Diceros bicornis minor: one gene and its partner. The protein of the gene in region 1 purifies or fractionates together with the protein of each later gene. This does not show direct contact. Links are inferred from orthologs where the notes say so. Each region holds a gene or a part of one and is shown on either strand. Other genes may lie near its edges. The genes, in order: RANBP6 and ARMCX3.

Evidence for each region.
Region 2: the proteins of RANBP6 (region 1) and ARMCX3 purify together in Homo sapiens (co-immunoprecipitation; 3 studies listed by BioGRID and IntAct, counting the BioPlex papers as one, with this or other methods). This does not show direct contact. The link is inferred for Diceros bicornis minor from reciprocal best matches to the Homo sapiens genes RANBP6 and ARMCX3.

The regions. Positions count from the first base shown.
Region 1 is NC_080761.1:29,933,673-29,944,559, forward strand, and holds RANBP6 (ran-binding protein 6), read right to left. Parts: upstream 5,353-10,887; 5' UTR 5,344-5,352; coding exon 2,026-5,343; 3' UTR 737-2,025; downstream 1-736. UniProt on the Homo sapiens protein: May function in nuclear protein import as nuclear transport receptor.
Region 2 is NC_080781.1:94,685,798-94,696,684, forward strand, and holds ARMCX3 (armadillo repeat-containing X-linked protein 3), read left to right. Parts: upstream 1-4,637; 5' UTR 4,638-4,768; intron 4,769-4,789; exon of another isoform or gene 4,790-4,921; intron 4,922-5,257; exon of another isoform or gene 5,258-5,297; 5' UTR 5,298-5,377; intron 5,378-5,662; 5' UTR 5,663-5,723; intron 5,724-5,983; 5' UTR 5,984-6,054; intron 6,055-6,298; 5' UTR 6,299-6,444; coding exon 6,445-7,584; 3' UTR 7,585-9,351; downstream 9,352-10,887. UniProt on the Homo sapiens protein: Regulates mitochondrial aggregation and transport in axons in living neurons. May link mitochondria to the TRAK2-kinesin motor complex via its interaction with Miro and TRAK2.

The DNA of each region.
Region 1 (10,887 bases):
GCTAGGTATTATGACCATTTTACAGATGGAGAAACTGATGCTTAGGTTAAAAAAGTAGTTTGCCAAAATTCAATTTTAGGTCTGTCATACTTCAAAATTCTCTAGGTGCCTAATTCTAAGTCATCTGGCAGAATTACCAATTCCTCATGTACAAGAGTGTAGGGAATTGCTAGAAATGTTGATTAAGGGCTTCTTAATTAAGATAAAGAGGAGCGGTAAGTGAAGGAACCTCTGCTATAGGTCATGGAGAGGCCAAGATGTAAGCTATTATGTAAGTAGGATCAGGTCCTGGAACTTAAAAACAAAGAAATATATTTCTATTCTACTCTATTTCTATAATATTTTATTATACAAGAAATATGTTGGTTGTAGGTAAATTAGAAAATACAGATAAATGAGAAGAAAAATTGCCATTTAATCCCACCACCCAGAGAAAACCTCTATTAATACTTTGTGGGGGGATTTTTCTATTTATTCATCTATACTTTTTTATCTTAAATAAACTTAAAATTGTGACCATACTGTACTTAATGTCCTTTCCTTCCCCCCCCCATTAACAATAAATAATTGTAGGGAATGGACAGGAATTGCATACCTAAAATCTCAACTTCATATCTCTGTGCACAATGGCCTAGATGGCCTGCTCATCTGAACTGGTAGAGGGTGAATCAGGGAAATTCTAATGTAAGAGGAATTCTAAACCATAAAAAAGAACACAGTAGAGGTACAAACAACAGCAATAACAGCTACAATTTATTAAGCACTTACTAGGTCTTAAATATTTGCTAAATACTTTACATACACAGTACTCACAATAGCCACAGGAAATGACAGATGTATTTGTTCTTAAATTTTGGATCAATGATTTGCTGAGTAGAATGCTTTTATCCTACCCTACCAAAAGCTCAACATTAAAGACCAACATTCTAATTCATATAATTAACCCTAGATTTATGGGACTGTTTTCTTATAATGCACATCTACTGCTAAACAACTGGTCTCAAAACTGTTTTCTTTTTTATGTTTAAAGATAAAATTAATTTTGCTTCCCCTTCATTTTCACAATAGAATACTCCTCAGTGCTATTATAGAATCTATTAAGAACTTTTTCAAAATAGAAATCTATTTAGGCCCCATTTTGAATCAGGGCTTCTTTTCTCATTGAACTGCTTTGCAGGGGGAAAATGGCATACATACACAATGTAATATTCTGCTCAAACACATAACACTGATTGACTCCCACAAATATCAATTACTTACTATTTGTCAAATATTGTTACAGTATGTACATGCTACCAATGTTAGATGCACCAGGACACCCTTTTCAGTACACATGGTTCTTAGAGTCCTGGATAACTTAAAAAATAGAGACTGGTCTGGCTTAGAAGATTTTAAAGTTCTCATAACTCTCAGCTGGACACCTTGGGAACTAGAATATGGATATGCCTCACCTAGTTCCCACGAGGACATTATGAAAAAGTTCATATACATTATAGAGAAAACTCCCCACATCTACTGCAATATCTCAAAGCTCTTGGCCAATTTCAGCATCTTCCCATTTCCATCAAAACCAGGAGTATTAACAAGGACGAATAAGCCTGCCACTATATTCTTCACCCACTATTCCAAAGATGTTTGTCCTGGAAGTTCTCCTATCCTATCTTTGTGAGCTCTTAGCATCTTGTGATAGGCAGCATGACATCTTGACACCAAGCGTATTGCTTGTCCAGCATCAGTGATTCAGACAAACAGCAATGATTTATATACTTCACATCACATTAGAAAGGGGACAAACATTCTAAGACAACGGAAGCACAGGTTATCATCAAGGTCTGTGTATAAGAGATAAAACATGCAAGGTGAACAGAAGGCTGTAACACTGACTAATCCTGGAGAAACATGGGGAAGGAATATAAACTGCTTAGCAGGGAGAGAACAGTTCTCTCAATTATAATAGAATTCACTCACAACACTTATTTGGAGTTACTTTTATGGTAGATGATATTCAAGTGATATTAAAGTGTTTCAAGCAAAATTTAGCAACTCCTGTAAGGCTTCCTGCTGCTCATCACCAAGTTGGCATATGCATTCCAACCATAATTCTTCAGAAGTCTGTACCTGACGCACAACATTAGCTAGGCGTTTGGCACAAGGATCTTCACAGTTAATAGTCTCACTAATTTTTCCTTCTGCAATTATACTGATTATTTTGGGAAGATTGGAATTATTTGGACCAAGTACAACTGGATGGTTACTTTCAATTAAGTCACAGAGAAAACTCAAAGTCTGAATAGCTTCCTCTTTATCTTCATGCAGTGGAAGCCATGATAACCAGTGTGGAAGAACTTCATCTACATTTACACAGTTAGGCTTAAACCTCAAAATCTTCCCCACTGCTGAGATACAGTTCTCTGTAGCAATGACATTCTTTTTGGTTTTGGAATTTGCACACTTAATAACTTTTACCAGCAGTGGAACAGCTTCAGAACATAAAGAACGATAATCATCTCCACCAAACTGTGCCATAACACCCAGGCCATAAGCAGCAGCTTGCCTGACTTCAGGGTTGTTATCTCGCATATTTAGTAGCATTGGCCACCGAAAATATTCTACATATTTAAATGAGGTTGGACTGCAGTGCTCTATGATATCATCAAATATGCACAGTCCCCACTGTCTGTCTGGCCATGGCCTACTAGAACAAATTAGATTTACAATTAATGGAAGCAGCTGTTCAAACCATGGTAAAATCTTTTCCTTATAAGTACTAAATAATGAGTGCAAAATATCTGATACTTTGGTTAGAATATAAACATCACATTCATCCTCATCTTGCAGAGACATTTCAACCTGTTGGTCATAGTTTTCTTCCTGTCTTTTAACCTGTCTCAATTCTTGGTTTTTAAAGTGCCCTTCAAGTTTTGCTTTCAATATTTCTCCCAGTTCTTCCAAGTGTTCATCATTAAGGCATCCATCTCCCATTACTTCAATGGACTTTGCAAAAGAATTCATTATTTCTGAGAGTACATCTGTATCAGGTTCAGTCCCAATAGCCTTGATTAAGGGATCACATATGAATTGCCACATCTGTGCAAGATACTCTGGGCCACGAATTCTTGCACATTCCAGGAGAAAAGGCATGGACTCTGCTGCTGCCACTCGAACATTGTCATGGAAATAAAATTTCAGTAAAGGAACCATCAGCTTTACAACTTGTTCTGTATATTCCACAAATCCTTCCCTTAACTCCTTAGCATAGTAAACCAACATCTGGCAAGCAGTTGCTTTTGCTTCAAGTCCTGAAGTTTTAATTCCAAAACTTTGCTGGTCTCCAAGATTTACAAATTGCCATCCATCATCATCACTCATATTCTCCACGTCTTGTGTGTCTAAGAGAGCAACATCAGGTTTAGCTGAAGCAGTCTTAATGAGAGGCTCAATAACCAGGGAAAGGTACTGTTGAAAATCATTTCCAAGAATTTTACACATTCTGGCCCATGCTGAAACCATGTAAGTAGTCTGAGGGTCATCATCTTCCATATTATTTAAGTCTGATTGTGTCTTCAACAATAGTTGCATCACATTTGGTGCATCCTGCGTAAATTTTTCCTTCCCAACAGCAAGGCCAACATGGCTAATGCATTCAATAGTTTTTCCTTTCAGAAGCTTGAGTTCCTTTTGAATAGCAAGCTCAACGATGTGCTTTAGTGAGGGCATAAATATATCATAATATGGAACAAATTTTTCTTCTATTGTATCTGCGACTGAGGCAATGGTTGTCACAAGCTGTTCCAAGGCCAACTTAGTTCCATTTCGAATCAACTCTTGAAGTTTAATCACCAAGATGGAATGTAGATTTCTCACCATACTATCCAAATATAGAACTAGCAATGATTTGGGGCAGTCTTCAATAAAAATAATAAGTGCGGAAGCTGCATGTGATTGCACACGCTGATTACCTTGATTTTCCATGGTACGCAACAGAGCTGCAATCACTGTTTCATGGAATTTCTTTTGGAAGTTAGGTGCAAAATCTGTGGCCATCTGTCCAAGTGTAGTACAGGCTGCAGCCCTCACCCTAGGATGGGGATCCTGAAGAAAGAGCAAAACAGAGTTAACCGTTTCATCTAGAATTGATTCCATTTGCTGATGGCATCCTTCTCCAATGGCAGATAAGGCCGTTAATCCAGCATGTCGATATTTCCAGTCAGGGCTCTGAAGCATCTGCATGATATGCTCTTTAGTCATTGGTAAAACAAGTTTTCCACCGAGCCCACATGCGAGTCTGTCTAGTGCACTCTCAGCAGCAACTGCATTGCTGTCAAAATCATCTTCTTCCATTTCATCAGCATTTACCCAGTCCTCATCATCTTGCAGATCAACCATCATTGCTAATATATGAGGAACTGCCTGTGCAATAATATTTGTATGCTTTTTCAACATTGGGGTTGCAGTTTCAGACAAGGTCACTATTACTTCAAGGGCCAGCTGGCGTTGCAGATTGCTAAGTCTAGAGTCTCCACATAACTTTAGACTCAACTGCAGAGTATCTTCTAAATAAGGACCCAAGTATTTAGGTACGGTATCTGCAATCTCAACAAGGGATTCTAGTACTGAATCATCATCCTGGTAGCATGAATCATTCACAGCCTGTAAGATTCCAGGAAGCAAGTCTGCAAAGTCTTTGAAAAGAGCAATATTATTCTCATTAGCAAGTACAAATGCAGCCGCAGCTCTAGCGGATAATGTCCTGATTGCTGGATGTTCTTGATCTTGAATACACTGGTCCAACAACCGTTTGATGATATCCAAATCGTGCCGCTCTTGGTTCCCAAAAATCCCAGGAAAGTGCCAGAAAACATGAAGTGCAACTTCCCATAGAACCACATTTTTAGAGTAGATTGAATCAATAAGGAACTTCAGACCTTCGGGCCAGTGGTTAGTGCCATCCTCATCTATCAAATTCCTGGCCAGCACTGCAAAAATATCACAAAGTTTTTTCCTCATGCTAGCATGTTTTTCTAACTTAACAGCCAGGATCAGTTCAATCTTGACGTCCCTCTGAACATCAGAAGGCAGATTTGGATAGACTTCCTCAAACCCAGAGGACAAAAGCCGTCGTAGCAGTGCGGCAGCCATTTGTCTCACCTCATAACCCGCTCTTCTATTTCTGACAGCATCTAAGAGGAATGTAGTCTTACACAGACCTGGGATATTTTCATAGATTTCCTCTGCCTGCCTCCGCACCATACAGCTTGGATTGATCAGGTTCTTCAAAAGCTGGTAAAACTCTTGCTTTCCCGACACGGTCGCCGGTATCCCTGCAGACCCGGCCGCCGCCATCGCGCTCTGTCAAAGCAACCGCGACCGGGAAGGAGGGAGGGGGTCTGCGGCGGGAAGCAGTGACGCAAGCGAGGCGCCGGCGGGTGTGGGCGGGGCCGCTTCTCCCTCGGCTGCCTGGGCTCTTTGGATGCCCTCTGGGGCTGGGGAGCCGGGTGGCGGGGCGGATAGGTGAGAGCGGGCTGGAGGCGAGAGGCATCCTCCACCTGTTTTCCAACCAGACAAAAATGCACCTGCAGAAGGGAAAAAAAAGAAAATATGATATTGATTGTATTAGAATGGGATTATGGGTGATTGATTTTCTCCTTTCCTTTATTTCTAAACTCTATTGTTGTTATCTTGATGATTTTAAAACAATAAGTACATCTTGAAACTCTGCTAAGTGAAAGAAGCCGATCACAAAAGATCCCATATTGTATGATTCCATATATGTGAAAGGTTTTGAATAGGCAAATCTATACGGAAAGTAGATTAGTGGTTGCCAGAGGCTGGGGGGAGGGGAGAATGGAGAATAACTGCTGTCAGATAGGCGGTTTCTTTTTGGGTGATGAAAACGTTCTAAAATTGATTGTGGTGATTGTTGCACGATTCTGTGATTATGCTAAAGACCACTGAATTGTACAACTTAGATTGGCGAATTGTACGATATGTGAATAATACCTCAATAAAGCTGTTTATCAAATAAGTGCAATAAAAGATAAAAACAATGATTACCACCCCACTACAACACCTAATACAGTAGAGCAGTGGTGCTCAAACTCTGATGTGTGTCAGAATCACCTGGCCTAGGGATTATAATAAAGAAGGAGAAAGACAACTGAATAAAGTATGGTGGAAAGTGTACCTAGGCTAGTAATCAGAAGACTTGACTCTTAGTCTTATCTCTAAATTAATTTTGTATCCTTGGTCATATCACTCAAGGTTTTCCTTGCATGTTGTCTAAATTGTAAAGTTCTTTTACAGTTTTCCTTTTAGTAGGAAGATGCTGCGATTATTTCAAGAAACAAATACCCCTAAGGATAAATATTGTTTCTTTAATTCAGGCAATTGTGTCAATCAAAAGCAATAATCATTCCTCTAACAATGATTAGATCTTACTTTCCTGTTAGCACATTGCCACTCTGTCATTTTGACCATTATACAGGTTTGCAAGATTAGTAAGATAGGTATAATACTAATTTTAGGTGAGAAATGGAAACTCAGGGAGGTTAAGAGATTTGCCTAAGATGACACAGCTGAGTCTCAAATCCACCTCTTCTGAAAGCAACACCAATACTCTTTCACCATAGCACTTCTCCATAATTACTCTTGGTTTGGCAACATGATCAGAGTCCTTTACTTATTGCAGAGTCTGTCTTAAACTTCTCCAAGTGGGCTTAATTTTAATTTTGTAAAATGCTGCTGCATATACCCACAAAGATAGAAAATCCCAGTTTTCCCATTAACGAGATAATACACTAAGTAGTCTCATAAATTACATTGTAATATGTGATACTATGCTCATTTAGGAAGAAACCTTATTCTTTTAAACACTTTCTGTGGACTGAAAACCAACTGCATCAGAATCACTTGAGATGCTTATTATTTTTTATATAATTTTTTATTGATGTCATAATAGTTTATAACATTGTGAGATTCCAGTTGTACATTATTATTTGTCAGTCACCGTATAAATGCGCCCCTTCACCCCTTGTGCCCACCCCCAATCCCTTCCACCTGGTAACCACCAAACTGTTCTCTCTGTCAGTGTGTAAGTTTATATTCCACATATGAGTGAAGTCATACGGTGTTTGTCTTTCTCTGTCTGGCTTATTTCACTGAACATAATACCCTCCAGGTCCATCCATGTTGTTGCAAATGGGACAATTTTGTCTTTTTTTATGGCTGAGTAGCATTCCATTGTATATATACCACGTCTTCTTTATCCATTCGTCTGTCGATGGACCCTTGAGTTGCTACCACTTCTTGTCTATAGTGAATAATGCTGCAATGAACATAGGAGTGCATAAGCCTCTTTGGATTGCTGGTTTCAAGTTCTTTGGATAAAGAAGTGGCATAGCTGAATCATAAGGTATTTCTATTTTTAATTTTTTGAGGAATTTGAGATACTTATTTTTAAATACAGGTGTTAGGACCCAAGTTCTTAACTACTGAATCAGAATTTCTGGGGAATGCAACCCAAGGAAGTTCAGTTTTAACAAGCACACTGGGTTTTCATATAAATACCAAAGTTTGAGAACCACTGATGAGATCAATTCTGGTTCTGATTCCAAGATCTTGACTATAAGTTTGCATCTTGCTCCAGAATCACTGTTTTTTTAACTGTTCCTTGAAATAGTCTAACTGCAGAGCCTTTGCATTTGCTGTTTCAGGAAAAGTTAATAAGTATGTGAGAGGAGAAAGGCTTTTCTTAACACTATATCTATTGGCATATTAAAGACTTATCAAAAACTACGAGATACCACCACAGACCCACCACAATGTTTTAAATTTAAAAGTCTGTCAATATCAAGGGTTGGTGAGGATGTGGAACATGGAATCAATTATATTTTTGATGGTAGTATAAGTAAATTGGTACAACTACTTTGAAAAAATGTTTGGAAAATGCTGGGTTAAGATTATGCAATTATTCATTTATTCTGTCAGCAAACATTCATCGAGGGTATACTCAAGCATGGCACTGGATGCTAGAGGTAAAGATTAAATACATAAAGATGCTCATGAGAGCCAGTAAATGTCACATAGTGTAGTGATCACTGTGGTGATGGTAAGTCTGCCATGGAACCACATGGGGTTGTGGAGGCAGCCAATCTAATCTGGGTTTGCGGGAAATCAGGTAAGGCTTCCCAGAGGAGGTGATATCAGGGCTGACTTTTGAAGGATGAATCTTCATTAATTATTTAAAGAAAGAGAAGAAGGTTGTTCTAAGTAGAGGGAACAGCTTTGTTCATATGCAGAGAGGTGTTAGAGCCTAGTGTGGTAAGAGTTCTGCCAGTATTTCAGAATTGCTGGAGCATTGGGTATGGGACTTGAGGGTGCCTGGGATGATACAGGAGGCAGGAAGGAGGAAGACAGAAAGTTAAATAGAGGCCAGATCATGAAGGTCTGATACTCCATGTTAAGAAATTTCGATTTTTTTCCTAAAGGTAGTGATGAGCTGTTTAAGGATTTAAGGGCTGTCAGAAATAGTCAATTTTTAGAAATATTGCTTTGATAATAGTGTGAAGACTGGGGGCATTTAGGAGGCCAATAACCTAGTTCAGTTAAGCTGAAAGTCTAAACTTTATAGCAGTAGTGGAGGGAAAGAAAAGAGGGCAAGAATTAGAGAGGTTTTACGAGGTTGTATCAATAGCACTTAGAGGGGAAGGAGAAGCTTGGGAAATCTCCCCGAGTTTTGGCCTGGGCATCTGGCTGGAGGTACTGCAATTTACCTATTTATTTACCTACATATGAATAAATAACAATGTTAATGCAGACCAAAAGACAACTAATTCTTTCTGAAGGAAAAAGAGGCTTCCCTAAGAAGGTAAGTCAGTCCCAGAATCCATGTTTTGTTCTCTATATGCTATAGTGACAGTCATTGTTTTAACAGTAGAAGCTAAACTGAATCCATTTTAGGAAAATTATTTATGATCTTTTATTTTAGAAAAACATACACTGATTTAAAATCTTAAGGTACTTCCTCTCTAGATTACGTAATTCTGTTCTATTTACTTTTTGCATTGTTATTTCCTTTCTGGTTTTCCCCTAAGGAGCGCATATAATACCCAAGATTTCAAGACTGGACTTGCAGACTTGGTTAGGATTGAACAACTTTATTAAATTTTGTAATTAAAATTGGCTTTTAAAATTGTTTGCACTGTTGAGAGGCTGTTTAAGAATGTTTCCATAAGGTGGCTCAATACAGAAAATTCAAGTGTTTATTAGCAGCTTGCTAAGTGGGGAAAGTGCAAAATAAGTTGCAACTTTCTTCCAAGATCTGAGAGATTTAGAGTCAAATGAGGGGGATATAATTACATTGTACATACTTGACATTTTTACAAGAATAATCCAGAATAAATAAAAACACAGAAAACAAAAAATATCATGAAGGCTCCCGCTGGCCTAAGATGGGACAATCTGAATATCAAAAAGAATAATGCCCACAATGGATTAAAAAACATCAAATTTATAAACAAAACGGATGAGTTTCTATAATTAACAAAAGCCACAAACTCGTTAATTACCTTTGGAGGTTGCTAGGTCACTAACTCTGAAAATTGATAGATAAGATTTTTCCTGTCTTTGCTGTACAAACTGTATTTCAGGATAACCAAATAGTTGATGAGGGTACATTCTTCTTTATAGAATTTCAGCTAATAAGTGCACAAAAAATGCTAAAATCAGAAAATTGCTGTGTTGTAATCCCCAATGAAATAATGAATCTAGGTAACAATAACCAATGGATGCTAAAACCATTAAATGAAACATTGATTGGGCATTTAATAATAGAGGAATTTGGCTGAAACCACCTGAAATTACGGATTAATCTTAATATTATTAAAAGGGGGATAAACCAGAGGTGTCATTTACCTGTTCTCTTTCAGCTCCACATCCGTACTTCCTATAATTGGTTCTCTGATGCTGAGGTTAGGCTCTGGAAACAAATTTCTCTTTTCACACCTGGGTTGCTGGTAGGTTTTACCAATAGGAGCCACTAGAGATTGGAAGATAGAAAAGGGACGGAAAAGGGATTAATCCTTCCTGTTCTTCTTTTTCTTGTCTGGATTGCCCCAGCAGTGACCCCTCCTCTTGGTGGCAGCAGTTTCCTTCCTTTTGCAACACTCAAAATACCTGATCTCTCATCTCTGCAGAGATGCCAGCAGTAGCCTGGGGGCACCCCTTCCTCAGAGGTTTCACCCACAGCTCTGGGAGGTCCCTCCTTTGAGCCTAAAGATACCAGTTCCATTTTGTTCCCTCAGCTTCCCTCAGGGATGGTAACAGTTCCTTCAGTTATCATCTTTGGATTACCTCAGTGCTATTTATTTACTCTTTCAGGTCTCTCACACCTGTGTAACCAATCCCTTAAGTTAAATCTCCTCTTGACATACTTAGTATGGTTTGTTTTCCTAACTGGACCTTGACTTCTCTCTCAGGCATTAAGTGATGCAGTGGGAAGTACGCTGCACCACCTATGAAGTATATTTATTTTAAATCAGCTTTTTGAGGTATAATTTATATGTATTAAAATTCACCAATTATAAGTATATAGTTAGACAACAGTCAAGTAACCATGACCACAATCATATATAGAACATTTTCATGACCCCAAAAAGTTCCTTTGGGTCCCTCAGTAGGCAATCTCCTTTCCCCACTCCTGGCTCCAAGAAACCACCGATCTGATTTCCATTGCTATAGCTTTGTCTCTTCTAGAATTTCATATAAATGGAATGATTCAGCATGTGGCTTTTTGTGTCTGGCTGCTTTCTCTTAGCACATGCCTCTGACATTCCTCCATTCTGTTGCATGTTTGTTCCTTTTTATTCCATCATGTAAATATAGTAGTAT
Region 2 (10,887 bases), on another chromosome or scaffold:
TCCTGGCTGAACTCATAGTATCAGGCATCAGACGACTGAGATCTTAGAAGACTGCTTTCATTCTGGCTTTAAAGGACAGACTTTATGCAGACCCCAAATTCCGACGAATCTTACATCTCCAGATGAAACTTACAAATTAGTAACTTCAAAGATTAGCCTGCTTTTCATTCAAAGGTCTTTATTTAAAATCTATTCTGAAGTTTCACGGTGTAACCCATAAATCATCCAGAAATTGGAGAATTCTCTGTTATGCCACTGATGGAAATGAGACTCAATAGATGGAATTTTCATTGAATCATGACACTGGTGAGATACCTTTGGCATCTGTCATTCATGTACTATGTCACCCTAGCAGCAGCTAGTGTTGAGCCTCTTCCAGTGGAGACAGTGGTGTGGCTCTGAGGGTGACTGTGAATCCCTGCGACACCCCTGAGATCCATGTTATTGTTCCCTCACAAAAATCACAGTTTACAGGATCCCAGGCAGTCACCAGCAGAAAGAAGCCTTTTCATTCCGTGCCTTCTGTTACAATTTCACCGCACTGCCCATACAAGCCCCTCATAATAATCCCAGAACTCGGGGACAAAGTATGCCATTAGTCCCCAGACATTCAGCTGTCCCCGCTGGGGAGTCATACTCTAAATATAGACCTTTCAGGCAGTCTCTTTCTTAGAACGTTGAAATATGACACCCCAGCAGGAAGCTCCCTGATGGAGGGGCCCCAGTGAGGGGGAGGTCCTTTCAGGAGGTGAGCCAGGGAGCCCAGAGTGCCTTGCTGGTGAATATTCAGAAGTGAAGATAATGTCACAACTTTCTGGTCTTCCTCAAACTTTTATAGTCCTAATTCACTCACCAATATCATACCTCGTCTCTCTAAACCCCTACCTCATTTGTTTTGCAATCATCTCCTGAAACGGTTCTCTTTGTCACCATTTACTTCTCTTAGACAAGTGAATTCTTATTTATGAAGTCTTACTAACAGAACTGGCAGATTCAACTGTTCGTAATTCAGGTTTTGGCTACTAAGTACTTATATAAATGGCTTTTGTTTGTTTGTTTGTTTTTAATTATTTTTTTTTGTGAGGAAGATCAGCCCTGAGCTAACATCCATGCTAATCCTCCTCTTTTTGCTGAGGAAGACCAGCTCTGAGCTAACATCTATTGCCAGTCCTCCTCCTTTTTTTCCCCCCCAAAGCCCCAGTAGATAGTTGTATGTCATAGTTGCACATCCTTCTAGTTGCTGCACGTGGGACGCAGCCTCAGCATGGCCGGAGAAGTGGTGTGTCTGTACGTGTCTGGGATCCCAACCCAGGCGGCCAGTAGCGGAGCGCGCGCACTTAACTGCTAAGCCACAGGGCTGGCCCTGTTTGTTTTGAATATACACATTAGAAAGAACTAAGGAGTGTGTAAAGCTTAACAAAGCTTCTAGGACAAAAGCTCCACTCCTACCTCTCCTTACTAGTATGAAGTATCTCCCCCACTTTGGTATATTTTCTGAGTATTCCAATGTATAACCCCCGACCATCATTTTCCCAGTCTGTGAGACCTCTCCTGTCTGAATCCACTCCTTCTCTAAAACTTCCTAAACCCCATGGGAATGATAACTCTTTCAATTCTCTTACTTCTTTGTCATTTTGATCCACAATTTCTACCAAGGAACCTGGGGACTAGCATTTAAAGTGTACTTTGCTCTCCATTATACATCCACCAACAACTATTTATTTAAGGGCATGTTATTTGCTTGACATACTATTTCCAAAGTGAAAAAGGAAAATCCTTAAGCAATTCCTCAGACAAGCCTGTTAAAAGTTCCTGAGCCTGCAAAAAAATATGTGAAGCCACTGCCAAAAGGAACCTTTTGGTTTAAATCAGTCCGTGGTCACATGTGATGTGTGATTTATGAAGTACCCAAAACCCAAAAAGAGTCAGCAGATAGCAACACTAATGGAATTGTAGAGGGTGAGAAAAATAAATTATAAAAGATTTTTATCTTAAAAAGCTGTATTACCTTTTGTATTGTGTTATTTGCTTTTGTATTGCGTATTCGTTAATTTTGTTTGGTTGCAAGCAACAGAAACTAAACCCCGTGAACATAAACAATGAGGAAATGTTGAACACCAGGGTCAGCTCTGAGGGGTCTAGGTGGGAGGAATTGATAGTTGGCTTCTTCACGATGCCATAATTCCACTGATTTTCAGTTTTTTCTCTCTGTTCAAGATTTAAATTTTAGTAAGAGAGTATTGAGTTGGTCTGCTTTGGGCACAATGCCCACTCTTTCGCTGAGGAAAAGGACAAATATGTAAAGTGCACTTCTTTTCTTTTTCCAGAGAGAAATGTAAACTGCTTCAGATGTTGTTGTTGATTTGCAGGAGCCCTTTAACTACTTTGGATATTAATCCATTGTCCAGCTGTGACTGAGGTGCTGAGGCCTATTTGCCACAGCTTGTCTTAGTTGTAATTTTCACATTAACTGAACATTAGAGAGGTACAGTTCTGAAATGGTGATGCATGAGGTTGTCTTCTAAGCCAAAGCTACCTGGCTTCCCTGACAGGATTCCACAAGGTTGCATCTACAGTTCAGGGTCTTGTCCTCACTGTTGCGTGATCAACCCCTGATTTTGTCTGTACACTGGGAGCAGATGCCTCTGTCAAGGAAAAGGACCCCCATTCATAGAGACATATATAAATCTAGATCTGAATGCCCAAACCCACGGATCTCTGGATTCTCTCCCTGTAAGTAGGCCACAGGGGAAGCTAAGTCTCAACAGGAGTGACAACTGACTAATTTACCCTGAGAAATACAACTGTCAGGGGTACTGGAGGTTTCTGTCAGTTTTACCAGTTTTACTGGTAGGCAAGCTACTACAGTCATATATAGCTTAATGACAGGGTACGTTCTGAGAAATGCGTCATTAGGTGATTTTGTTGTTGTGTGAACATCATAGCGTGTACTTACACAAACCCAGATGGTATAGCCTACTACACACTTAGGCTATATGGTACTAATCTTATGGGACCAGTATCGTATATTTGGTCCGTCATTGAAATGTCAGTTATGCAGCACATGACTGTACTTAAGAAACCACAACCTCAGAAGGCTGCTTGGCAATGGCATTGGTTCACCTTAAGAAGTGGCTTTCAGCTAAGGAAGCTTGAAGTCCTCTTACACATCATGAGGATGGCTCTGCCAAAGAAAGCTAAATGTTCCATTCATCTTAGCCAAGACTCTCTCTCCTCCAGACAGTGCTTGGGTGGGAACTACCAACACTTTCCTCTGGCTCTCCTTTTCATATATTCCTGTGCTTGAATAAGCCCCTTTGCTGCACATGACCTTCCTCTAAACAGAATCATATAGTTGATGTGGTTTCTGTTTACTAAATTTCAGTCATATCCTAGTACTGCCTCCCAGTAGTTATATCGATATGAATTTCCCTGGAGTTTTGCCTGTTCCCAAACTTCCCAGTCTCTTGATTTACTCCCATATTGTCTGTGGATTATAAAAGTTATACTCAGATAATAACCTTATATCCAAACTATTAGGGACTATCCCACTGTAGACTCCATGTTCTGACATTACTTTTCCCACTATAAAAAGTTCAGTCATTACTGACAGGTGAATCACTGAGTTCATCAAACTAGCCGGTGAAATGGTTTCACTAATTCATGCTAATTGCTAGATGCCGAGGAGTTCAATTTTGTCTTGGTCTGTGTTCCTCTAACACCTGTTCCATTTGAAGATGCTATTCTCTATTTGCACCAAGTATATTTTGTAATGTTCTTTGTATGCCACTCACTTTGTCAGTGTGCATGGCTTTTTGTCTGGCAGATATCCACTACACAGTTGTAATTTCTACTTAATCTTTTCTGTGTTACTGGCTTCTGAGGGCTCCATGCCTCTTCCTTGCTAACTTGTGCAAGCGAAAGTCTGGAGCTCTCCTGTTCAGAAGACTGGCCTAGTCAGAAGATTATGCATTCGCAGACACACTGATTAGCTCATTCAGAGTTGTGTTATGCACTAGGCCCCAGAAGACATTAAGATTGCTTTGAGTCAAGTGTGTAACATTTGCGGCAAGTGAGAAAATGCGGGACTTTTGGAGGCCTTCATCCAACATCACTCTCCAACTCCCACTCTTTTTTTCTCAAATGAAAATAGCTTTGTAGTAATTTTTTTTTCTCATAAAAAGAATGCAGGCCAGGAGCAGGAGAGGGCAGAACAAAAAGAACAAAAAAGTATCAAGAAAGTAAAAACCACACTCTCCAGATCTCCTTTTCTGATAGCTTTTCCGTTTCAAATCTGGGACTAGCTTTCAGAGGAAATGGTAGACATTAATAGCTGGGACGAGGGGAGGTGGAAGGAGAGGTTACTGTCCCAGGAGCCTAGGGAAGGAAGAGGCAATTTTTCAAAAAGCACAAGTGGCCAGTAGCCCCAGGGGAAGATGCTGTCCCTTTGTGGTAATCAGAGGAAGGCAAACACAACTACAGGGAGCCGGGATTAGCAAAGAAGAAAGAGTAACAAGGCCTGGTTGGGGGAGGGAATGGAGGAGGGCGGGCGCTCTTCTGCCGCACTGCTGGTAGGAGGGGAAATTGGGGACCCGAGTTGGTGGATGACGTAGATCTCACGTGACCAAGAGCTGACGTGTGCAGAAGTCCTTCTTGTTCTGGTCGTTGTTCCCGTCTGAGTACCAGCTCCCCATTGCCCTAAGGGCGAGCAGGCCTGCTGCAGAAGGAAGAAGGAGGAGGAGAAGGAAATTGTCCCGGATCCCTGCAGGTCAGTGCCTGGGAGAGTTCATAAGGTGGGGGTACCGAGGGCATAGGGCGGAGACCGTCGCGGGTCCTGAGGCGCCTCCGTCGTCTCTCCCTCTCACCGCCGGCTTTCCAAGACATCTGTCCCGCCCGCAGCCGATTTCAATACTGCGAAATGGTGAGCAGGGGGGTGTTTGCGGAGAAGCCCAGAGATTCAGAGGTGGGAATACGCTGAGAGCCGAAGCCGTAATCCGGAAAGGGAGCTGTGGCCTGGGTGTTGGCCCCCAGTCCTCCAGGACAGTCCCGGCGGGGAAAGGCTGGACTTGGGGCGGGGGGGGGGGGGCTGTAACGTGGTGTGTCAGCATAACTCCAAGAGGGGTAATAGTGGGAAACCTTTGACAACCAGGCCTCCGAATTAGGAGTCTCATGTTCTGGGGACTGGTCCGTCCACCAAGCACTCGGTAGCGGCTGTTTCTTGTCTTTCTGACTGTGGTCTGTGTCTTCCTGACCATAGCTCTGTGTCTAGTGGGTCCGAGCCTCTCCCGGGTTGCCAGTCTTTCCGTAGGTTGCGGCATTACGCCAGGCAACAGAAGAGGAAAGAAATTAACCCCAATCGGTGAAGGTCGATTTGAGGGTAAGACCATCTGGGGACCCTAAGAGGGGCGGTGGTGGGGGTGGGGAGAAACCAGAGATAGCAATAATCTAGGTTAGGTCTGAGTCTGTGTTTCTTGCACTCTCGGGACTGTGGTGAAATGGCGTGCGTTGTGTGTGAATGTGTGTGTGTGTGTGTGTGTGTGTGTGTCGCAGGGGGGTGGGGGTGGGGGAGAATGACAGAAAGGAAACCTATCAGATAGTTTGTTCGTAATCCTCCTCTATCAACAGCACTTAGTCCCTATGTTTTCGATCTGTCATCCTGCAGGTCTGCTGTAGCAGGTGGCACCACTTGAAGCGAGGGAGGAAGTTTCCTCGGATCAGTAGAGGTCGGTGTGGGCGTGGGGGCTGCCTGGAATGGGGGAGGGGTTGGAAATCGGCCGTGGTTGGACAGGCTCACCCAGTCCTACCGTATTTCCCTAACATCCCTCCCTGAATTCGGGTTAAGGAAGGGGCAGACATGTGCATGTTTTGGATGGCATAGAGAGGTTAAAAAAATCCGACAACCTAGATGGTGAATCAGGAAAACTACTAATGAAGAGTCAATCCATCAAGCCCTCAATTCTCACTGACTCTGGTCTCTCTGCAGATCGCAAGGGTTGTTGGGCGTGGCACACCTCCAGGGGAGGGAAGAAGGGGCAGACTGCCTGTTTGGAAGAGGTTAGTGCAAGGATGCCACTCCCTGGGGACACCCGAGATTGGGGTGGCTGAAGCCCCAGCAGAGACTATGGGCTCCATTGCCTTTATCTAGGCTGGGGAGGGGGTGGGCTGAGAGAGTTTGTTAACAATCTACACTTCCTTTCAAGTACTCATTTACTACTCTCCTGGCCCTCTGTGCAACTCCCTGCATGGGGCAACACAAAGAGAAGAGAAACTCAAACCCATTTCCTTCCTCTACCCCTAGGTCCACCTCCAGTATCAGCTATTGTGGCCTTGAAGTGGCTGAAGACAATCACTCTCCACAGGCCTGCACCCAGGCCCATAGCCCTCCTTCCCCAGCCTGAGTGACTACTCTATTCCTTGGTCCCTGCTATTGTCAGGGACGATTGCATGGGCTACGCCAGGAAAGTAGGCTGGGTGACTGCGGGACTGGTGATTGGGGCTGGTGCCTGCTATTGCATTTATAGACTGACCCGGGGAAGAAAACAGAACAAGGAGAAAATGGCTGAGGGTGGGTCTGGGGATGTGGATGATGTTGGAGACTGCCCTGGGGCCAGGTACAATGACTGGTCTGACGATGATGATGACAACAGTGAGAACAAGGGTATAGTATGGTACCCACCTTGGGCCCGGATTGGGACTGAGGCAGGGACCAGAGCTAGGGCCAGGGCAAGGGCCAGGGCTACTCGGGCTCGTCGGGCTGTCCAGAAACGGGCTTCTCCCAATTCAGATGATACTATTTTGTCCCCTCAAGAGCTGCAGAAAGTTCTTTGCTTGGTTGAGATGTCTGAAAAGCCTTATATTCTTGAAGCAGCTTTAATTGCTCTGGGTAACAATGCTGCTTATGCATTTAACAGAGATATCATTCGTGATCTGGGTGGTCTCCCAATTGTTGCAAAGATTCTCAATACTCGAGATCCCATAGTTAAGGAAAAGGCTTTAATTGTCCTAAATAACTTGAGCGTGAATGCTGAAAATCAGCGCAGGCTTAAGATATACATGAATCAAGTGTGTGATGACACAATCACTTCTCGCTTGAACTCATCTGTGCAGCTGGCTGGACTAAGATTGCTTACGAATATGACTGTTACTAATGAGTATCAGCACATGCTTGCCAATTCCATTTCAGACTTTTTTCGTTTATTTTCAGCGGGAAACGAAGAAACCAAATTTCAGGTTTTGAAGCTCCTTTTGAATTTGGCTGAAAATCCAGCCATGAGTAGAGAACTGCTCAGGGCCCAAGTACCATCTTCACTGGGTTCCCTCTTTAATAAGAAGGAGAACAAAGAGGTCATTATTAAACTTCTGGTCATATTTGAGAACATAAATGACAATTTTAAATGGCAAGAAAACGAACCTACTCAGAATCAGTTCAGCGAAGGTTCACTTTTTTTCTTCCTAAAAGAATTTCAAGTGTGTGCTGATAAGATTCTGGGGATAGAAAGTCACCATGATTTTCTGGTGAAAGTAAAAGTTGGAAAATTCATGGCAAAACTGGCTGAGCATATGTTCCCAAAGAGCCAGGAATAACTTCTTGATTTTGTAGTTTAGAAGCAACACACATTGTAAACTGTTCCTTTTCTCCACCTTGTTTATACGGTAAAGGAATCCTTTCAGCTGCCAATTTTGAGTAATGAATATCATATTGTTTCATCAATGCTGATATTTACCCGAGTTGGTCTTCAGGTCTAAGCTGGATGAATGAATATCACTACCTGTTCTGAAAACATGTTTGTTGCTTTTTATCTCGCTGCCTAGATTGAAATATTTTTACTATTTCTCCTGCATAAGTGACAGTGAACCAATTCGTCATGAGTAAGCTCCCTCCTGTCATTTGCATTGACTTCATTTGTGTATCATCAATAAAGTTGTGTGTTAATGCTGGAAAGAAAGAAAGAAAGAAGCAAGAAAGAAACCATCCTTGTCCTTCGGTTTATAATCTAGTTGGAGAGATAAGAAACATATAAACAAAAAGATAACTGAGAATATCTGGAGCATGTACTCATTGTCAAATGTGCACTATCGGAGCACAGAGGAAGCAAAGGCTTCTGTGGGATACAGCAGTCAGCTACAGATTCATGGAGAAAGCGGCTATCTAAAATGAGTCCTGAACCGGGGAGGTAGTTAGGGCATTCCCTGAGATGAGAGTAAGGGAGGACTGGTGTGAGAAAGGCATGCAGGTAGGAACTCTCTTCCTATGACAGTGAGAAGACTAGTATGCTTAGAGTGGAGAGTGTGGGAAAGGGAAGTAAATAAATTTGGAAAGCTGGGAGAAGCCAGCTTGTGGAGAGCTGTTTGAATATTATCCCACTGAACACCGAGAGCCACTGAATATTTTTGACTAGAAAAACAGTTGGAATTCATATAAAAGTCCCTCTCTCACCTATGTGCAGTGTCCACGAGGGTGTGGCAAAATGGACCCTTTCAAACCCTGGTGGTATGAATAAGTTTACACTGGCACAAGGTTTGTGGAGGGCCATTTGGTAATGCATATCATAAGCCTTAAAATATGTAAACCCTTTGTCCTAAGGGAATAATTGAATAATTGGCCAAAGACTGAATGTACAAGGCTGTTCATGCCAGCACAGTCTAAAATAGTAAAAATTGGAAACAAGTGTCTAGCACACTGGATTGGTTAAATAAATTAATGTTCACATGGTATATGATAAATATGTTGATTCAAATCCATATTGCCAGGAAAAGATATTCATCATGCATTGTTAAGTGAGAAAAGTAGATTAGATAGCAGTATTCATAGTATGATTCCTTTTTTTTTGGAGAACAATAAAACATATGTTTAAGTAGACACTAAAAACTTTGGAATTACAGACACCCAAATAGTAATAGTGATTATCTTTGAGTGGAAGGTTAATGAGTGATCTTTACCTTTTTACTTTTTATTCATTTATGTGTTCTTATTTATCTAAAATGAATATTGATTTTTCAGAAATTTTTGAAAAAGGAAAGTGTTGGGAACGAAGCAGGTGATTGGAGCATGTACTGAGTGGAAAAAATATTTAGATTAAAAATGAGACGGGTTGAAGTTTCTTCTTTGAAATGATAGATGAGTGGTGAAGATAGGGCTCGTTGTGAGAATTAAATGAAGTAATACATGCAAAATACTTAGTATGTTCTGGCACATAGCAGTTAATTAAGAAAAGTGAGCACCCTTAATTTCCTAGAATGCAGGGTTGATAGTTTTTTTGATTGACTTTTGTTTTGCTGGGGGCATTCTGCCATGTGTCAGTGTCTTTTAATAAATAATAACAATAAAGGCTAGCATTTATTAAGTGACTACTTTGTAGAGTTCTGTCATTCCTGCAAGGCAACTGTTAAAATAATTTCTCAAAGGAATAGGGTTTTCTTATTTCTAAGGATTCAAAGTGTTTCCTCAGACATGATATCACCAGCTCCTACAACATATTCCTTGTCGGTTTGGGGATGTTATCCTTCTTTATATACGAGGCCAGGAAAGGGTAAAACCCTCTGTTCAGTTATGATCTGGTTTTAGCCCCAGGCTTCCATAAACTTACTCTAATGTTGTCTATAGTGGACAAAAGGACCGGGGACTGATTGGCTTAAAGTTGTTGGGTATGGTGACCCTATTGAATCATGCACATGTGAAGACTCATTTGACACCAGTTTTAAAGACAGGGTGAGGGAACAGGGAACTAATATTTTTCTTGCTCTATTATTAGGTAGGAGAAAAAGATTTGGGAGGAGAAGTCTAACCCATTTAAAATAAACTGAGTTTGGGGTACCTGTGTGACATCCATATGGAGACACCCTATTGTCATTTGAATGTTTTGATCTGGCTCTCGGAGGAGAAGACTAGGCTGCAAATAAAGATTTAGGAGCCAGCAGAGGATGAATGATACCTGAGAACATGGGAGTGGATGTGATTCCCAGAGAGAAGGCACAGAGTGTAAGAGTGGAGGGCTGCAAAAAGAACTGTGTGAGGGACTGGCAGCTGGAGAGAGAAGCACAGAATTGAAACTGAGTGTTTACCCTTAAAGACACTTTCACTACCCATATACCTATTTATTATATACACAAAATTGGATGACACTGTAGATAAACTTTCAGAGCTTCATTTAAAATTTTTCTACTTTCTCCTAAAAAAACACTCATTGAAGATAGTAACGAAAATAGAGACAATGAGAAAAAACTTGTCCCCTGACCCAGCTATGTAACTTGAACATCTAAAAAAATATTCAGATGAAGCCATGTTGAACTTGGGGAGCTGAGGGACTTTTATGCCTGGGGTGAAAATGAGGTTCATGTTGAGTAATAAAAAGCCACCACACGGCAGGGGCACAGGCCTGACCAGCGTCCATCTGCTCTTGCAGGTCTCTTTTCTCCTTCCTTCCCATTCTTCTTCCCTCTCCCTCCCTCGCACTGTTATCTTTAGTTCCTCCTCCTGGGGGATCATTGGCACTAGTCTCTTTGTGCTTCTGTGTCTTTTGGGGTGACCATTCAATTCCCATGACACCAGGTCGTGCACCAGTGGGCATTTAATACAGAATAATAATTGCTGTTGCTGTGGTAATACGGTGACCCTGGGTGTGACTGGATGCCAAGATCTTTTGGAACCCTTGTTGAACAGAGACTGCGATGAAACTAGTCTTAGCGTGGCACAGCCCTATGTGCACTGCATGTACTTTCGATGTCCCTTACCTGGTATCATTTAGAATTGAATCACCCGGACTTTGGGAAGTGCTGTGTGAGACAAATGTGTGACCGCCTGGTCCAGGCAAGGCACATGCTGATGTCCCGATGTTTTCACATCGGAGGTTGCCACTCTCAATCACTTTGGGAAGGGCACAGTTCTCG